3 linked regions of the Caenorhabditis elegans genome follow. The protein of the gene in region 1 interacts with the protein of each later gene in a pairwise test. Each region holds a gene or a part of one and is shown on either strand. Other genes may lie near its edges.

Region 1 (6,840 bases):
GAGCAATTTTTGAACAGTTTCGTTATGAAATTCGGTGTTTTTGAGTCATTTTTCACGCAATTTTTGTATTTCTATTGAAATTTATGAGGCACCACGTTTTCAAGATCTTTTCAAAAACAAGATCTACGAAAACAAGATCTACATTTTCAAGATCTACGAAAAAAATCCTAAACTAGACGCGAACAGATTTTGAAAACGTGGTGCCTCGAATTTCTTCTCAATATCCCTCTCCCACACCAATTTGCCATCCAAAATCGATTAAATTTCCAGCCGATCGATGGAAATCGATGGGGGTCCACCTCCATTCTGCGGCGTCGCTGTCGACGATTCCTATGACAAAAGTGAGCAGCACGAATACGATGAAGTCGACGATTCGCCCGACTCGACGAGCCTACCGCTTCCATCAGCATCAAGAAGTCGGTCGGTGACTCCTGTGAAGGATATGGCTGCCGGACATGAAGCTGTTCCAGAAGCATCTGATAATAATGAAAAGGGAGATACGGTAAGAAATATATATATATATATATGCTGAAATTAACGATTTCCGTAATGAAACTTCTCGAAAAAATTCAAAAATTTCCTTATAAAACTAGCTAATTTTAGCTTAAAATCTCCAATTTTTCGGGAAAAAAACTTCTAAAATTTTCTTAAAAAACTGGCTAATTTTAGCTTAAAATCTCCAATTTTCTATTTAAAAAAACATTTTTGTACCCAAAATGAAATAAAACAGTGTCAAATTACCGAATATAAATGTTTAAAAATTTATGGAATTTTCCTACATTTATTAAAAATACTTTTTCAGTTTTGCAACAAAAAAATAGGTAGAAAGAGTTGAATTATTTTTTTGTGCAAGTTCCCGCGCAAATGACGTCATTTTCGACATTTTCGATTTTTTACAGAAATTTTTCAGTTAAGAAAATCCTAAAATTGGCCTGAAAATCAATAATTTAACAGTAGAAAAACTTTTTCTTCGGAAAAATTTCCGAAAAAAATTGTGAAATTATGTTTCAAAATGAAAAATTGAAGAAAACCCTATCCGGATTTGCCGGAAATTTTGATTTTTGGCAAATCGCCGGTTTGCCGGAAATTTTCATTTTTGGCAAATTGCCGATTTACCGGAAATTTTGATTTTTGGCAAATTGCCGGTTTGCCGGAAATTTTCATTTTTGGCAAATTGCCGGTTTGCCGGAAATTTTCATTTTCGGTAAATTGCCGGTTTGCCGGAAATTTTGATTTGTGGAAAATTGCCGGTTTTGCCGATTTGCCGGAATTTTTCGTTTTCGGGAAATTGCCGGTTTGCCGGAATTTTTCGTTTTCGGGAAATTGCCGGTTTGCCGGAATTTTTCGTTTTCGGCAAATTGCCGGTGTTCCGATTTGCCGGAAATTTTCAATTCCGGCAATTTCGCCGATTTGCCAGAAAATGTCATTTTCGACAAATTGTCAGTTTGCCGATTTGCCGGAAAAATCGTTTGCCCCCGACCCCTGCTTTGAATTATGAACAAAAACCTTCAATCAACTTTAAAATAGCAATGCAACATTTTGAAATTAAAATTTGCAATCAATTTTTTTTGTCAAAAAATGTTCTAAAAATTGAACTAATTTTGCCAAAAATTTACCCCAAAAATCCCGTAATTTCAGATGACGACTGCATTATCACAGGACGAATTTACGGGATTTCAAAATTCGGAAATACAGAAAGAAGAAGACGATGACGACGATGAGTGGGGAGATTTTGGAGAAGCCGTTGTTGCTGCTGCACCAATTCAGGCGGTAAGAAAAAAAAGTTAAAACTTTATTGCAAAAAAAATACCAAAAAAAAAAAATAATAATAAACGTATATAAATAGGATTAGCATTGAGATTTTTTTTCAAGCGTGTAAATATTTCTGGAAATTAATTTATTAAATTTAAATTTATTCACTTCACAATTTGTGAGCAACAACGCTCGTCGTATCACCGAAAAACAGTTGCCGGGCAAACGCCGAGAAGCCGATATTCTCGAAAAAGTCTGCAATCCACACGGCCTCTTTCGATTCGCACGCCATTTTTGACATGGACGTTCCCATCAGAACCAATCGTGCGAATCTGCAACACGGGGATGAAATTGTGATCTATCAGTGCCGGGGGCTAAAAATTTTGGTAAATTGCCGAACTTTTGGTACATTCTCAAAATTTTAATAAATTGCCAATTTTTTGATAAATTGCCTAAATTTTGGGAAATGTTCAAAATTTTGGTAAATTCTTAAAATTTTGGTAAATTGCCAATTTTTTAATAAATTGCCAAAACTTTTGGAGGCACCACCGAAAGGAGAACATGTGAAAAAGGAGAATTACGAAAAGGAGAACACAAAACCACGCCCATTTTTCCATGCCGCGCGCAAGTTTTTGCAGAAACTTGTGCAAATTTTTATTTTCAAACGAGATAACGCGAAGCTCCGAAAGAACGTATCGCGTGTTGTTTATCACACGAATTCGTTAGTTCGGATCTTCGTTGTCTCGTTTGAAAATAAAAATTTGCACAAGTTTATGCAAAAACTTGCGCTCGGCACGGATAAATAGGCGTGGTTTTGTGTTCTCCTTTTCGTAATTCTCCTTTTTCACATGTTCTCGTTTCCGTGGTGCCTCCCAAAATTGTGAGAATTTTTCCAAAATTTTAGCATTTTACCAAAATGTTGAGAATTTACCAAAATTTTAGCATTTTACCAAAAATTTGAAAATTTAGCAAAATTTAGAGAATTTACCGAAATTTTGGTCAAAGTGTTCCAACTTAGCTTACTTAGCTAGTCCGCAACAAGACACATCAAATTGTGATCTATCAATGTTTGATTTGATCGACAAGCGAGTAATAGATGAATGCATCAAAGGAAGGAAAAACGTGATTTCACCAACCTTTCGATTGCCGTGTCCACGTCGTCTTTCATGGCCATGTAGCCGTATAACTGCTTGGTGATGCGGACTCGTTCGTTGTTCACAAGCTTGCGAGCCGGTAGAGAGATGTCAGCGTCTGGAATCGCATCAAAGTGAAAGTTTGGCTCTTATTGAGATTCCGCCCGGACCTGGATTCAGAAACGTTACCGCTTTGAACGCTGCAAATTCGGTTGCGTCGAGCTGTAGATCACGGAACGGCTTGAGCACGAGATCCAACATTTGATACTTTTTCCTGTTGAGTCCGGCTGGCCTATAACGATTGAACACAACGCGGAACGAGACGGGAATTGGGGCTCGGTTTGGAGTATATGTGACCGACAACTTACCGGGTTGGCTCTGGAGTACGATCGAAGTAGGCACCATCTGGGAATACAATTGTGTCTGGTCCGTAGTCCGGGGAGTTCCAGACTTGAACCAGGACTGGGACTGTTATTGCGGCATGGCGAACAAGTTCGGCCTGGAAAGGATTGAAATAATTAAATCGTTATACATGTTTCTGGTTTTCTTCCAACCTTATCTTGATAATCGAGCGCCTCAAAAACATCGAATGTTTTGGCATACTCTGTCAACAAGAACCAGTCTCTCTCGTGCCAATAGTGGTAGTCGTCGTGATTGACGAATCGTAGATCGAAGATCTGATGTCTCTCACTCGGCTGTCCCCACTTTTCCAAAAAAGCCGTGTCGTTCAGCAGAGCCTTTGAGCATAGAGCCTCGTGGAGAGATCGGATTGGAAGATATTCGGAGAGTCGGAGATCATTTGCACACTTTTCGCGTTCGGCAAGAGTTTGTAGGATGCAGCGACGAGGTTTCAGTGGTGCAGCTTGGAAAAGGAGTGGCGAGATTGGTGGAGGCTGTAATTTGGGATCACGTGGTGTCAGAGTTTCTCATTTCGGCTTGATCTACGTAGATCTATAGAAAATGCGGGAAAAGAGACGCAGAGTTCTCAACTGATTTTGCATGGTTGAGAACGTGCTGACGTCACACATTTTTTGGGCAAAAAAATTCTCGCATTTTTTGTAGATCAAACCGTAATTGGACTAATTAATTACCGATAGCTGTAATGGAGACACTGATGGTGGGGTGCTTGCTCCTTCGTCACTTGAACAGTCCGAGGTAGTCTTCAGCTCTTTTTTTGGACGCCTGGTACGTTTTGTGTATCCGATAGGGTCACGGTTTTGTTGGAGGGCGTTTCGGTCCATTCCCACGCTCAAACATTTCTCGAATCGGCAGTATCGGCAGGCACAGCGGATAGCTGAACTTTTGAAATATTTTTTATAAGTTCCTTGTTACTGCTAACAAGTGGTGTCAGAGTGTCCCATTTCGTTTTGATCTACGAGAATTGCGGAACTGATTCCGCATGGTTAAGAACGTGCTGACGTCACATTTTTTGGGCGAAAAATCCCCGCATTTCTTGTAGATCAAACCGAAATGGGACAGCCTGACACCAAGTGTGCTAAATAACTCACTTTTATCAACTGGACAATTGCCCTCGAATTGGCAAATGTACTTTTGTTTCTTCATAATTGTTCGCCGGAAAAATGTCTTGCATCCGACACATGACGGGACACCATAATGGTAGCCAGAAGCGAAATCTTGACAAACGAGACAAACGTGATCACGAGACGAGCTCGGAGACGATTGAGGTGTCATTTTGACCTGAAATACGCCTTGTTTGTATTGGTTTTTTTTGTGACAACGAGAATAATGCCAAGAGACACTAGACACGATAACAAATGCAAAGTGCCCCCGAATCGATGCGTTTTAGAGATAAAATGAAGGAGAAGAGGAGAGGTAAACTACAACAATTGAACTGTGATGTGAGACAGGCTAGGGACAGCTGTTGCAAAAAAACATTTGAACTTTTGATTTCTAATCATTTGAGCAAACTTTTTTTGAAACAATGATTTGCTGGGTGGTTTTGGAAGTTTTTTTGGAAAGAAATCAAGTCCTTGATGAAGTGACTCGGAAAAACGGGCGGTCAAATGATTGTTCATTATCAACATATTAACAGGCTGCCTAAGAAATGAGAATAGAAGACCTTGAGATGTATATTCTATATATGTCTGATATCAACGTGAAGATCGAACTGTCTTGCAATAAAACACAGTGGCTTGGGGCCTGCTGCTGACCAGCAGCTTCATCGCGTCCTCATGTATTTTTCACACTACCCCCTCCTCCTCTCAATTTCCGATCGTCCCCGTCGTCATACGACAAAGATTTGGGACGTTATCGCTGCCCGTTATATACGATTCTTCTTGACCAATGAACAAAGTACATGCGATGGGGGGGGGGGGGGGGGTGGAGCCTCTCTTGGAAAATGCCACGAGAAAACCACGCCATGTAATGTTGAAGAAGGGAAGATTTGATAAAGAAAGAAGTCTGCACCTACCTACTATGTGAGAAGACTTTTGTACACACAGACTGTAGCAGCAGCAGCAGAAGAAGAAGCTACACGTGGTGGCAGAGTGTCTCATTTTGGATTGATCTACGTTGATCTACAAAAAATGCGGGTGAGAAGAAACGCAGAGTTCTCAACTGTTTTCGGATGGTTAAAAACGTACTGACGTCACACATTTTTTTGGGCGAAAATTTCCGCATTTTTTGTAGATCAAACCGTAATGGGACCGTCTGGCACTACGTGAGCTAATCAATTTGTCTATGATACAGGAGACATGAAGAATGAGAAAGTTGCATTGTTAGTTGCTGAGAAATAGGCGAAAATTCGTCCTATTAGATGTTTTGGTCATTTGATTGCTGATAAGACACTGATAAGTGCTAATCAATTTAAGAATTAGTTGTTGGTAAATTTAACCATCTTATGATTAAAATAAAAACATCAATATTTGTACAAAAAATTCTGAGAATGCGTATTGCATAACATATTTGACGCGCAAAACATCTCGTAGCGAAAAAGAAGACTACAGTAATCGTTTAAATGACTTCTGTAGTGCTTCTGTGTCGATTTACGAGCTCGATTTTTGAAATGAATTCTTCTTTTCGAATATTGCCGGTCCAGAGAATGAGGAAAGTTGAATGGACACAGATATTCCGGAACCCAAGGTTGCGGGAAGAGCCGATTTGTATGGATTTACGGAGAGTTTGTGAATAAAAACACTCCGTAAATCGACAAAAATCGTCTCTTCCCGCGCCCCGCCCCTTGGGTTCCGGAATGTCTGTGTCCATTCAACTATCTACACTCTCTGTACCGGTAATATTTGAAAAGAAGAATTTAATTAAAGAATCGATCTCCCGTAAATCGACACAAAAGCACTACAGTAGCCATTTAAACGATTACTGTAGTTTTCTTTTTCGCTGCGAGATATTTTGCGCGGCAAATGTGTTGCACAATACGCAGCATTCTCAGAATTTTTTTTTTCGATGTCAGCGTGGCGAGACCCATGCGCGCAGGATACGCCGAAAATGCTTTTATTCAGACTTCAAAGCGACTTTTTGCAAAAATCCAAAATTGTCCTAAATTTCTTTAAAAAATCACAAACAAAATGAAAAAAAAATCGCGGAAGATTGCAAAAATCCAACTTCACGTAGTGTCAGAAAGTCTCATTGCGGTTTGATCTACAAAAAATGCGCGATTTTTTTCCCAGAAAAATTGTGACGTCAGCACACTCTTAACCATGCGAAATCAGTTGAGATGTCTGCGTCTCACCTCCCGCATTTTTTGTAGATCAAAGCGAAATGGGACTTTCTGACCCCACGTGCAACTTTTTAAAACAAAATTTCATATCCAAAATGAAAGTTTCGACCAAAATATGTTTCCTTTTTCAGAGACCTCAATCGCCGCCTCCATCGTTGAAAATGGATGGTTTCAATAACGAAGACGACGATGATGATGACGATTGGGGAGCATTTGATCAGGCTCGGCCTTCAACAGATCGGACTGAAAGTAGCCCGAATT
Region 2 (6,247 bases), 6.3 Mb from region 1:
AAAACGTCGTTCGCTGTTTCATTGTTTGATAATCAATATTTGGACCAAGAAACATGAAATGATCGGCAGTGTGATTGTTCAATAGAAGCTGAACTTCTGGTAAACGGAATAACTTTCGAACTGCAGAATATCCAAGCGATAAATCCTTGAACAAAGATAGGGAAAGATCCAAGAGATCAGAGTTGGACGGCCAGAATTTCAGATTTGTGAGAATCTTTTGTACAATAACACCTAGCATGTCAGACTCTTCCGTAATACGCAGTTCTGCTTCAAGTGTGTCGTAGACTGCACTGGCTCGAGTGATTTGATCCATGATATACGCACGACGGAATTGCTCAAGCATGTGAATAAATGAAACTTCCAGTCGAAGATTTCCTTTCAGTGGAACTGTATTATTTGACAACTGAAGCCGATTATCATTGAATCTCATAACTGTTATACATCGGGCAATGAGTTCTCCGTCCATTTTATCGTGAACATCACTGCTTGTTGCTGTCGTCTTTCCGAACACAGCAGTTCCGATCAATGTAATCAACCAAACGAGACGACCTTCGGCAATCGCTGTATTGGCATCCTGTAAATACAAATTATAAGTTTCAAAAAAAAACAACTAAGTGTCTTACATTTTCAGATCCATTCATCCAGATGTTGGCATTTTGATCAAAGTGTTGAGTGAGAAGTTTACATGTGTTTTCATATTCGCATCTACATATAATCGCAAGATGTTCCATAACTTGAAGGGTTGCTCCTTGATCATCTAATGGATTCTCAGCTCCTTCTCTGACAATGCTCTCAACGTGTTGTAATCGACTCTCGACGAATGCTGTCATGATTTCTGGACAATAAACGTTGAGAAGATGCTCATCATTATTTCGAACATATGGAACAGACGTCACCATTCTCTGCCAGAATGTCATAAGAAAATATGTACTGTTGGCTGAGAACTCCATCATTCGTAGGCTTTGTACAGTGAATTCCGCGAGTAACCTTAGCATGTGACTGTAGCAGGGAACAGCGATGAGCTCGCACAGCTGATAATTTGTTTTCAGACGAGCAATCAAACGGCAAAACTCGTGGAATGCGGCCTAAATCAGGTATATAAATATGTTTGCCTTTAATTTTTCATTATTCTTACCTGGTCACTAAGCTTCCCAGGGTTCATAATTACACTGACAACTCCTTCAACAAGTTTTTGAACGTAAGCCTGTCGCTCTGTTCCATTGAAAAGCGTTCTTCGAATACTTGCCAATTGAGCTATTATTGTCATCACTTTTTCACTTGATTCTTGTGGAAGCACATTTAAAAGTTTGAACATAAGCTGTACAATTTTTCCATCAGTAAAACTTGCTCTCCATGCTGTTGGGATTTGCACATTACAGTTGTCTTCACTTGTTTCGTCTGTCAAACTTCCTATATAATCAAAAAGTAGACATTGGAGATTCAAGTTGAGAACCGCGTGAAGAAGACCCAATTGGCGATCGTTCAGATTTCTGTCCACATTATCGTTCAAAACATTCAGAGATACCGAGAAAATCTCATATAAAAAATCGTCCCTGAACTGCGAAAGATTCTTGCGATGTTTGTTAACTGAATCCATTCCCGAAGCTGAATTCATGTCAGCAACGAGTAAGGTTAACAGTTGCACGGCCAGCATACTTTCCTCGATATTATCCATGTTGATTGTTTTGACAAGGCTATCAACCGGATCACGAAATGGATATTCAATTTTTGTGTCTTCTGTTTGATTTTCTGTGGGATTTTGATACGTCCATTCTTGTTTCGTGAGTCTTGCAAAAAGTTGGCAAAGTGATGTGACGAGATATGGAGGAAATTGAGGTGCACCTTGACCTAGCATTTCCAATAAATATTTTGCAAGCTCGAGCTTCTGAACAGAAGTGATGCTAGTTTTTCCGCCGAGAAGTTTCATTAGTGTGGTGCTTGCTACCATTGGTCCGTATGGGTACTGAAAATCATTATGTAAATTGTTTAACACTTTTATTATTTCGACTTACATCTCCTCGTGCAAAGAGAAGCATGCATCTTTGAAGGCATTCGGGTGACTCTGACAGTTCCGCAAGGTTACTCTCGGCTCGGTGTCGGGCTTGCGGATCGACACTCTCATATAGATCTTTGCATAGACTGTTTAGTACCTAAAATAAGATTAGAATGCACATTAAGAATTTTGAAAATGCTAACCGGTAATTCATCCATTTTTGAAGACTTCGAATCCGCTGTTCAGCGATTCACTCCTAAAATATCCAATTCAGAAGTAATTATAGCTTGAGAAAGAGGAGAAAAATGTTTTGAAAAGCAAAAAGAATGTTTAAAACGGATAAAATTAATTCGGCGTCTTCCCACCGTTAATTGTTTCGAAAAACTGCAAACTTTGGTGATGATTTGAGTTTCTGAAAGACGAAACATCTTGTCCTGGTGAAGTACACGGCGGATGGCCGATAAAAAAGTTAGGCCATCCTTTCTCATCCTACTCTACATCCCACAGGCTCTCTCGCCACAATTGGCATCTTTTGGCAGTTTCCACTATTTTCAGAATTCGTTATCTGTTTTCTGATAACAAAAACAAGAAAAACAGAATCTTTACGACTACTTCTTTATTTATCCGCTCTAACCACTCATTCTACGCAGATTTTGAATGGCAGAGCGGTGAGTTTTGAAATTTAATCTGTAGTACAACATGCAGTTGGAAATGCCAAAAATATCAATAATTTCAGAGATAAAGATGAAATCTTTAGTTTAAAAAGTTATCAACGTCCAATTGTCTATCATTCTGAATATAATGTAACTGCATTTGGAATCGAACATTTACATCCATTTGATTCTTCGAAATGGAGAAGAGTCATTACACATTTGAAAGAAATGAATCTGATCACTGATGAAACACTCGTTGAGCCAAATCTACCGACATTTGAAGAACTCACTAGAGTACATGATAGAAAGTAGGCACATGAAAGTGTTGTGAATGTGATTGAATCGTGGAATTGGTTTATGAAAAAATCATGTTTGTATGGCCCCATACTTAAATTGAAAGAAAATAATTAAGCTCATAACGTTTATAGTTGACATTCTAAAAAAAAGTTAGATGAGGCGTTCAACAATTTCAACTAATAAAAAAAATTTATTCATATTATTTTAGATATCTGAAAAGTGTTCGAAATCCTATTAAAGCAGCACAAATCGTCGAGATTCCATTTGTCGGTTGCCTTCCACCGTGCATTATTGAAAGCAAGTTATTGCATCCACTACGGTATCATTCCTAGTAATTGTTGTATTCATTTATTTGTGTTTTCCAGTTTACAAGCCGGTGGAACAGTTTTAGCTGCCAATTTGGCTCTAAAACATGGTTGGGCGATCAACGTGGGTGGTGGTTTCCATCATGCTTCTCGTATGTTTTTGTTATTCCGCAAGAAAAATAGACGCTATGGGATTGTACAGCAGCCTATAATTTCAGATTCGGGCGGAGGTGGATTCTGTTTTTACGCTGATATCACCATGGCAATTTTCGATTTGTTTGACAAAAAGGCAATTGCCAACGCGATTGTTGTAGATTTAGATGCTCATCAGGTACTGGAAAAAACATTTGAAAGAATATAAAATACCGTATATTTTCTATTGATGCGTGCGGCACCTTCACTGCTCAACTTTGACAGCATATAACTCAAAGGAACACGTGTAGTCAGAAAATCCCATTCCGCTTTGATCTTCGAAAAATGCGGGAGTTGAGACGCAGACATCTCATTTGATTTGGAATGGTTAAGAACGTGCTGACGTCACAATTTTTCTGGGAAAAAGTCCCGCATGTTTTGTAGATCAAACCGCAATGAGACAGTCTGACATCACATGAAGGAAGTATTTTGCCTAAAATCATAGATGGCCGATATCTGAGCTTTCAAAGTTAGAATTGTCCTCAAATTTTAGCTACCTTACAGTTACGTTAAGAATTCTATAGACTACGGTATCATTTTGGAAAACCATTTGGAACGTGAATGAAATATGTCTAGCCCGTAAAGATATTTCTCAAATATTAGATATTAATTCGAAATATTAATCACAATATTAATTGTTTAAAAAAATTATTAAAATTTAAGAATCCAATTTTTTGCTTGAATCATACTTTAAGGGAAATGGCCATGCACGAGACTTTGCTGACAATCCGAATGTGTTTGTATTTGATGTTTTCAATCCATATGTCTATCCACATGATCGTGAAGCTCGTCAATTTATTAACAGAGCGGTTCATGTAAATGGTCATACGACTGATACTTCCTACCTCTCGTAAGTATTCATAGCGGCTTTCTGCTTTCACTGACCGACTTTATTTAGCGAATTACGCAAACAACTGGCACAGTGTTTAATTGATAGAGAGAAAACTACTCCTCCTGGTTTCGATTTCATTATGTTCAACGCTGGCACAGACTGTCTACTTGGTGATCCTCTGGGAGCAATGAAATTGAGTCCACAGGTGTGTGAAAGCAAGGAATATTGTTATACGAGTTTGGTATTTGGTGTATAGTCTATTTTGAAATAAGATGTTGCATATTTTTTTGAAAATCAAATTTTCAGTGCATAATTGCTCGAGACGAAGTTGTGTTCAATCTAGCAAAATCAAAAGGAATTCCAATTTGCATGGTAACCAGTGGAGGGTATCAGAAGGACAACGCGCTTCTCATTGCAAAATCAATTGAAAATCTCCAGTCAAAGAATCTCATCAGTATCAAATAAAAAAGTTATATCAGCATATCTTTTCCTTATAAATTATTTTTTATTAAACTATTTTTTATTGTTTAATGGCAGGGGAAACTAAATAGATAGAAGGATCAAGTTCAAAATTTCATTTTAAAATCGAATGGATGATTTTGAAACATTCTATATCAACCCGATTCCATTAAAAATAAAACAATCCAAAATAATACAAAGTACTCTGAATATGAACTTTTCCTAAAACTTTCAATTTTTATGAATCCTCGACTCCTCCCAAATTTTCACTTTATGTGGATGTCACTAGGTCATCATCGGGTAAAGGGTCACACAGAGAGACACAGTCATTTCTCGCCTATATCTTTTATTTGATTCTTCTGTCGATTGCGACATGATTTGCTTCCGTACAGCTTTCATTTTAATTCTTGGAGTAGTGATAGGCACGACAGCAAAACGACACAATGTTCGAAGGCATGTCAATGGTAAATGGACTGATAAACATTGTGAAGAACCACCTAGTTTGGTTAGTTTTTGTTTTTTTAATTGAGAGTAAATAGTTTCACTAGCATGTTCTGGATATTGTTAGATATTTTTACATAGATTTATTCAATAAGTGTGTAAATATGCGTGAAAAATGGATGAAAGTATAACCCAAGTGTAAGTTTAGGAAAATCTCGAAAATCGGCCAAAAAGTCATATAGATATTCATGTTTATCCCCCATCAGTCTAAAATGACCAAATATAAAAATTGAAGTTTACAGAAAATTGTTAAACTTTAAAAAAAATTCAATTAACTTCTTGGTAAATTGCCAAATTTTCAACACAAACAAGAACTGGACTATTTGAGAAATTCGGAACAGTGCTTTCAACCTATACAATGTTTAAGTAAAATAAATTTAAACGTGATTAAAATAATCCAATATTATTTTTCGGTGAACTTCCAAAATTATGAAAAATGAAATCTGAGTAATTGCTACCCTTCAATTGTAATTTTAAACATTTTTTTAAAAAATGGTTTCAGAAGTTACTATAATATTTGGTCACAGCACAACAAAAGTGATTTTTAACAACTTCTTCAATATCACTTCGGTTGTAACATAGTATTTAATAAAAAAACATTTTTTCTTAAACATTTAATTAAACCGATACCTGATTATGTGTTTACAGCTGAACACAAAACAATAAACTAAAAGTAAACAGTTTTTAATGAATAAAAATTTTTTGATTGACCCGTCACAAATTATATCGCAACAAAAAAATGAATAGAAAGTTCAATGCCCTTTTCAAACCGTGTTCCGATTAATACCTTCCAATTACCGAAGTTGATCTATCTTTCATTTTTTTCTTTTTTCTTTTATCGTTGCACTAGTTGCCCACCTATATACGCAAGTACGGTGCTTGACACCGTTGCTTTCCATCTTTTCAATCGCACTTTTCCCGAAAAGATTATCTTATTTCCTTTTTCTCTGCGCCCAGTAATACCTAGTGTTCATTTCATAGGTCAAATTTTGAAAAAAAGATAAGGTAATCGACA
Region 3 (5,086 bases), on another chromosome or scaffold:
CGCAACAAGAATCATGACGTAATCAGATGTTATTTGGACGTATCCTTAATTGGATAATACCGTTTGTCTGTGTTGTTTTGCCGGCGGTTAAGCAAACAGTTGAACAAATTCTATGGGAAACAAAATAATTAAAACTGGCAGCTTACCAAAAAACTATACTAGAAATAATTATGTTAAATACGCTCGCAAGTTAGTTTTGAACAGTAGTGCTGCAAAATTAGGTCGGTGCTCGACCTCTGAATAGCTTAATTTTAAGCAGATCGCCTCAAAAATTGTTCAAAAATTTACATCTATGCTCAACAAAAATTTCAATTTTGCTGGCTTGTAAGTGGAACGGTGGTCGGAAATCAGAAATTTAATGTACTTTGTCTGCTCATTATATTACTGCGATACTAACAAATAAAAAAACCATATTGTAAAACTTTCAAGATCTCATGTATGCCTTAATTTTCATTAAAATCGTATAAATATTCACCCTTACATGAGAACTATCATAAAATATCTCTAACTTTAGTGTTTTATTCATTGTCAAAAATATTTAACCACATCATTTTGATGTATTTTCCATTTTCTCATGTTTTTGCTCTCACAAGATTAGTTGAGCAAACAAACACATCCTTGTCGAGAGGTGTTCTGAGTCTCATGAACTAATAAATCCTCCTCACCGGATAGTATTACCTGACACATTGCCAGACGGTTGCGTTTTACAACTACAAACGTAAAGTTTATGAGAGTTCCTTGAGCCTGGAGTCTTGAGCAATTGGTTCCCCCTCTCAGTTTTTGCTATAATTCAAAAGCGACTCAAACAAGTATTTGAATGTTTATTGACTGCTGTTATTCCGCCGTTTAATGATCAATACTAGCGGCAAATTTACGACCTGGTTGTAAACTTGATACACTGTTTGAAGATTTCCCAGGAGTCGAAGCGGATTTCTTTCAGTCATCCTAACGGGGCTAGATTTGAATGCAATCAACAGGTGCCGAGTAGCATATGACGGTTTATATTGCACCGTACTTGAAGTAGCGCGCGATGAGAGGGAAAAGGTTGCGCTCGTTTTGACGGCAGAGTTACGCAAAATACCGACTGACTGGAATTTGAGGCAAAAAGTTGTGCTATGGAAATTGAGTAGTGTAAACTGATAAAACCTTGCATAAATGTGATTAGTTTATATTAGATGATTTACTCGGTGTAACCGTATGTGAAATGTGAAATTGAAAGGAAAAACTGTACATATAGGTTTTTTTCCCCCAAAAAACGTTTTTGAAACATTTTTAACACTGAATATATCTACTTTTACTTCAGGATTTAGAAAATAACATAACTATGCCTAAAATTCCAAATAAACCACGTTACATTTCAAAAACTGCAAAAACTTTTTGATGTGAACGAAACCCATAAGTACCAAACATTCCATACAGGAACACCTTTCAAACCAGACTTGGATGCCTTTCTAGGTAGTTTTCATGGATTTTTCTTAGTACTGTTTTTTTTTTGAAAAGATTGCATAAGAAATACTTAGTACATATATTCCAAATTCGTGGGAAATTTTTAAGATAGAGACACCTACACAGATTGATTTCCAGTTTCATTATAAGGCGTTTTCTCTACTTAGCAAGATGTCAGAAAACAATGCTTGCTTTTATCAAATATAAATGTAGATAAGCATTTTTTGAAATAATGGAACACAATCAACAAATATTCACAACTAAATCCCTTAATTTCTGTGCATCAATAATGCCAATGTCTCTACCGTATGATATCAATTGGCTCACTCTGTAATCTAAACAAAGTGTAATTGAGTCCGGCACGGGTTTGTCGGCATCTTTTCGAAGAGGGGTGATTGCGCGAAAGCCGTGCGTCGGGATGCCCAGACAGGGCGGCAAGCGGCTAGTTTTTGATGGCGGGGGATGGTCCGGATGGGAACTCGTATACCGAGAATTCATAAACATTTGTAGACTGTATCTGAACTGTGATTTACTGTGTTGATACTAGTGGATTCTTTAGAAAAGTATCTTAAACTCAAAAAAAAACTTTCTTATAGTCATATTAACTTATGTAGCAATAGTATTTGAATAAATTTTATGACGTCAGATAATAAGTTTCAATAAACATCGCAGCACTAATTGTAAGTGAATAATCCTGTTACTTTATTTGAGAATATAAAAATTATACTTATATTTTTGCCTCAAACTCTGATGCCATGCATATTTCACGGATAACCCATATTAAAAAGTCAAATATCGGAAGTCTATTTTTTTGAACATTTTTGGATAACCATGTACATATACACATCATCAATTTTACAACCCCTTGCCATTCCAGTTTTACAGCCTGTCTTTATACAAAAAATCTCCACCTCAACATAAGTATAATGTCAACAACAAAAACATATTCCAGGCCGGATAGTAGTCTACACAGATCCTCCCACCATCGTGAACCTTTCCTGCCCGCATCTATCCTCCCTTGCGGGGTCTGTCTTCTTGCTCCGCCCACCCGTACCCATCTTGCGTACCTCATTCCTCCGATTCAAGTCAGTGATATATCGCTAGCTCATCTACAAAATGGTCAAATCAACAACTGCTGGAAACAATGCGGTTTCTTCATTAGAATCCACTGATTCCAAGAAGTCAAGAAAGGAAAAGTCTCGCGAGAAGGAGCATCGTCGTGCTCAATGTATCAACTCGGCCTTTGAGATTCTTCAGCAGTAAGTTGTTAACATTTCTTTTCCCTAAACAAATAGCTAACTTAATCTTATTTTCAGACATATTCCATACCTCAAATCGGAAGAGAGAAAGTCGCTGCCAAAGATCAAAACGCTTCGTCTTGCCATGCAGTACATTGATCATTTGAAAAAATTGCTGGGAGGAAATGAGATGGTATGTCGAATCATAATGTTTGTAACTGTAGTAATACTTTTTCGTACCATCAGTCAAAATGATCGTGTTTTGAATTATCTACTGTTTCAAATATCAAATTTCTTCAAATTCCTAACTCTTGTACGTTTTTTCAGCTCGAAACCGATTGCAACGAATCTCGCCCACTCACTCACTCAGATTTCCGTGTCAATATCTCGAATGAGATTAGAATTCGGAACAGTTACCGAGAGAGAGCCCACAATCAGGAGTTGGATGAAGCAACTGTGAAGAGAATTTTGGCTCGCGAAGATCAACGCCGTCGCTGCAGCTCAGTTCCGGAGGGAATACAAAGTAAGATCATAAAAATAGAGACATGGAAAAACAATTGAAATTTTCAGGATATACTCCTTACCAGAGCCGTCAATTCGGACCGATTTCGAACAATGTGTGCAACTTTCGCCACGTAGATGCTAACCAATACAACACCAACTTCATGGAATATCAAACACAAATGGTCCAGGTCGCCAACTTCCCAAATCAGTTCTCGCATGAGTATTACAACTATGGCACATTCCCAGTTATTGATCCAACTTCATTGGAGAACAGTAATCCAATTTTGCAATAACATTGTCTCATGTTATGTTACTCACGGTTTCCTTAATTGATCTCTATATTTCGACACGTTATTTGATTGCTCAACATAATTGTAAAGTCCGTTTCCGGCCATAAACTTTGTTATATTCAATAAATTTGTTACCTAATAAACAGTGCTCTTGAACGAACAAAAATGTTTATGTAATAAGATATTGTGATCCCTGGTGGCCTCTAATCCTACTTATATGGTGCCATGTGAGCCGTAGATGTGGAGGGGAAGGAAGTTGTGGGGAACTTGAACGGACAAAGTTATTTGATACACAAAGGTTATGTCCAGAAAGTCAAGATAATCGGTATTAAACTCTAATTTTTTATTTAAAAAAGTAGTGTTAGAAATATCAATGCACAAAGTATCATATTTTCAATAAACTTTGAAAGTAAAACTACTTCAAAGATTGCAAATTCCTCCTATAATTGAAAAATCATGCGTAGAAAATTACACAGAACAAAAACTGTGGGCCCAAGTTAAAATATTTCCTCTGGATCGCTAGACGCTAAAATTTTGCGAACTGTGTCACAACGGACGAAGTGTCACAACGGACGAACCTTTTTTTACTGAGTGGAATGTGTGGTTATGTTTCTTTTATAGACTAAAACTAGCCCAAAACGATTGAATTTCTTGGTTAGACTTCGCAAAAAAATTCAAAAACTGTTGTATGACGGATAAAAATTTCAAAACAAAACATCAAGTTTTGCTTAAATCTGAAATTTCGTCAAGTTTTATTTGTCGCGAAAATGAACAAAATTGAATGCTTATTGGCTTGGAGGTTGTAACATCAACAAATTTAGTTGAGATAAAAAACTAAAATATGCATTAAAGGGTGATAAGTTATCTCTGCTGCTACTGTTGCAAAGAAGAAAATTCAATTCAGCAACATTTGGCTCTTTTTTTTCAAAATGTTGACCCGCCATAAAACATTTTTCTAAATTTTATTATTCGTTGATTCAGTACATTATTGTATCATATTTGTGAACCCATTGACTGAAAAAGTACATAAATAATCAAATCCGGTAGGTCATTTTATTCTGAAAAAGCACAACCTCAAATTTCCATAATCCTTGAAAATTTTGTAAAACGTAGGAAGAACTGGGGTAAAATATTTCGCGGTGATTTTTTCATATTTATTACAGTTTTAGCAGACCCTATGCTGGTAATTTCTAGGTAAGTGCCGAGCGGTTTGTATTCTTCAATTAAAAAAACATTTCAATTTTACGATATTCTTTCAATTCAATTCATAGACAAGGAGACATAAACAAGAATACATGTTGACAAGTAGGCATAGACAATCAATCGAGCATAGACATAAATAGTTGTCTAATTTAAACTAAAACACACGCAACAATCCATTCTCGTAACAGTGGCCAATGACCTCAGAAGGATTGAAAAGGGATGCATTCTCAATGGCATGAATGACACAATCATAATTGAAACGGTTTGGATCGTTCTTGATAATTGCAACAGAGACTGGCACGAGCCATGGGCAACGCATGAGGAATTGAGCCGGATTACTCTCCTGAAAACGTTGGTAATTTTTGTTTTGAATGATGGTATTTGAACTTACAAAGCTTTTTTTCT

The links.
Region 2: the proteins of nhr-114 (region 1) and hda-11 interact in a two-hybrid assay, tested with the Caenorhabditis elegans proteins (one large-scale study listed by BioGRID).
Region 3: the proteins of nhr-114 (region 1) and hnd-1 interact in a two-hybrid assay, tested with the Caenorhabditis elegans proteins (one large-scale study listed by BioGRID).

Annotation. Positions count from the first base shown.
Region 1 is NC_003283.11:4,184,946-4,191,785, reverse strand, and holds nhr-114 (Nuclear hormone receptor 114), read right to left. Parts: upstream 4,584-6,840; 5' UTR 4,578-4,583; coding exon 4,394-4,577; intron 4,180-4,393; coding exon 3,977-4,179; intron 3,779-3,976; coding exon 3,440-3,778; intron 3,385-3,439; coding exon 3,254-3,384; intron 3,178-3,253; coding exon 3,056-3,177; intron 3,004-3,055; coding exon 2,889-3,003; exon of another isoform or gene 2,776-2,888; intron 2,085-2,775; coding exon 1,922-2,084; 3' UTR 1,782-1,921; downstream 1-1,781. Other genes in the region: Y45G5AM.9 (Aftiphilin clathrin-binding box domain-containing protein), read left to right, coding at 278-502, 1,639-1,770, 6,711-6,840. UniProt on the Caenorhabditis elegans protein: Probable transcription factor which may have a role in detoxifying dietary metabolites arising from bacterial tryptophan metabolism.
Region 2 is NC_003283.11:10,523,660-10,529,906, forward strand, and holds hda-11 (Histone deacetylase 11), read left to right. Parts: upstream 1-2,524; 5' UTR 2,525-2,650; coding exon 2,651-2,661; intron 2,662-2,729; coding exon 2,730-2,954; intron 2,955-3,151; coding exon 3,152-3,262; intron 3,263-3,308; coding exon 3,309-3,400; intron 3,401-3,466; coding exon 3,467-3,579; intron 3,580-4,135; coding exon 4,136-4,290; intron 4,291-4,338; coding exon 4,339-4,477; intron 4,478-4,578; coding exon 4,579-4,737; 3' UTR 4,738-4,785; downstream 4,786-6,247. Other genes in the region: xpo-7 (Exportin-7), read right to left, coding at 1-574, 624-1,085, 1,136-1,963, 2,013-2,150, 2,197-2,211; F25D1.3 (Interleukin-17), read left to right, coding at 5,105-5,236.
Region 3 is NC_003284.9:11,682,165-11,687,250, forward strand, and holds hnd-1 (Hand transcription factor 1), read left to right. Parts: upstream 1-2,396; 5' UTR 2,397-2,562; coding exon 2,563-2,705; intron 2,706-2,762; coding exon 2,763-2,877; intron 2,878-3,011; coding exon 3,012-3,207; intron 3,208-3,254; coding exon 3,255-3,481; 3' UTR 3,482-3,624; downstream 3,625-5,086. Other genes in the region: C44C10.7 (Protein kinase domain-containing protein), read right to left, coding at 4,836-5,024, 5,073-5,086. UniProt on the Caenorhabditis elegans protein: Probable transcription factor which regulates early embryonic myogenesis, in cooperation with transcription factors unc-120 and hlh-1.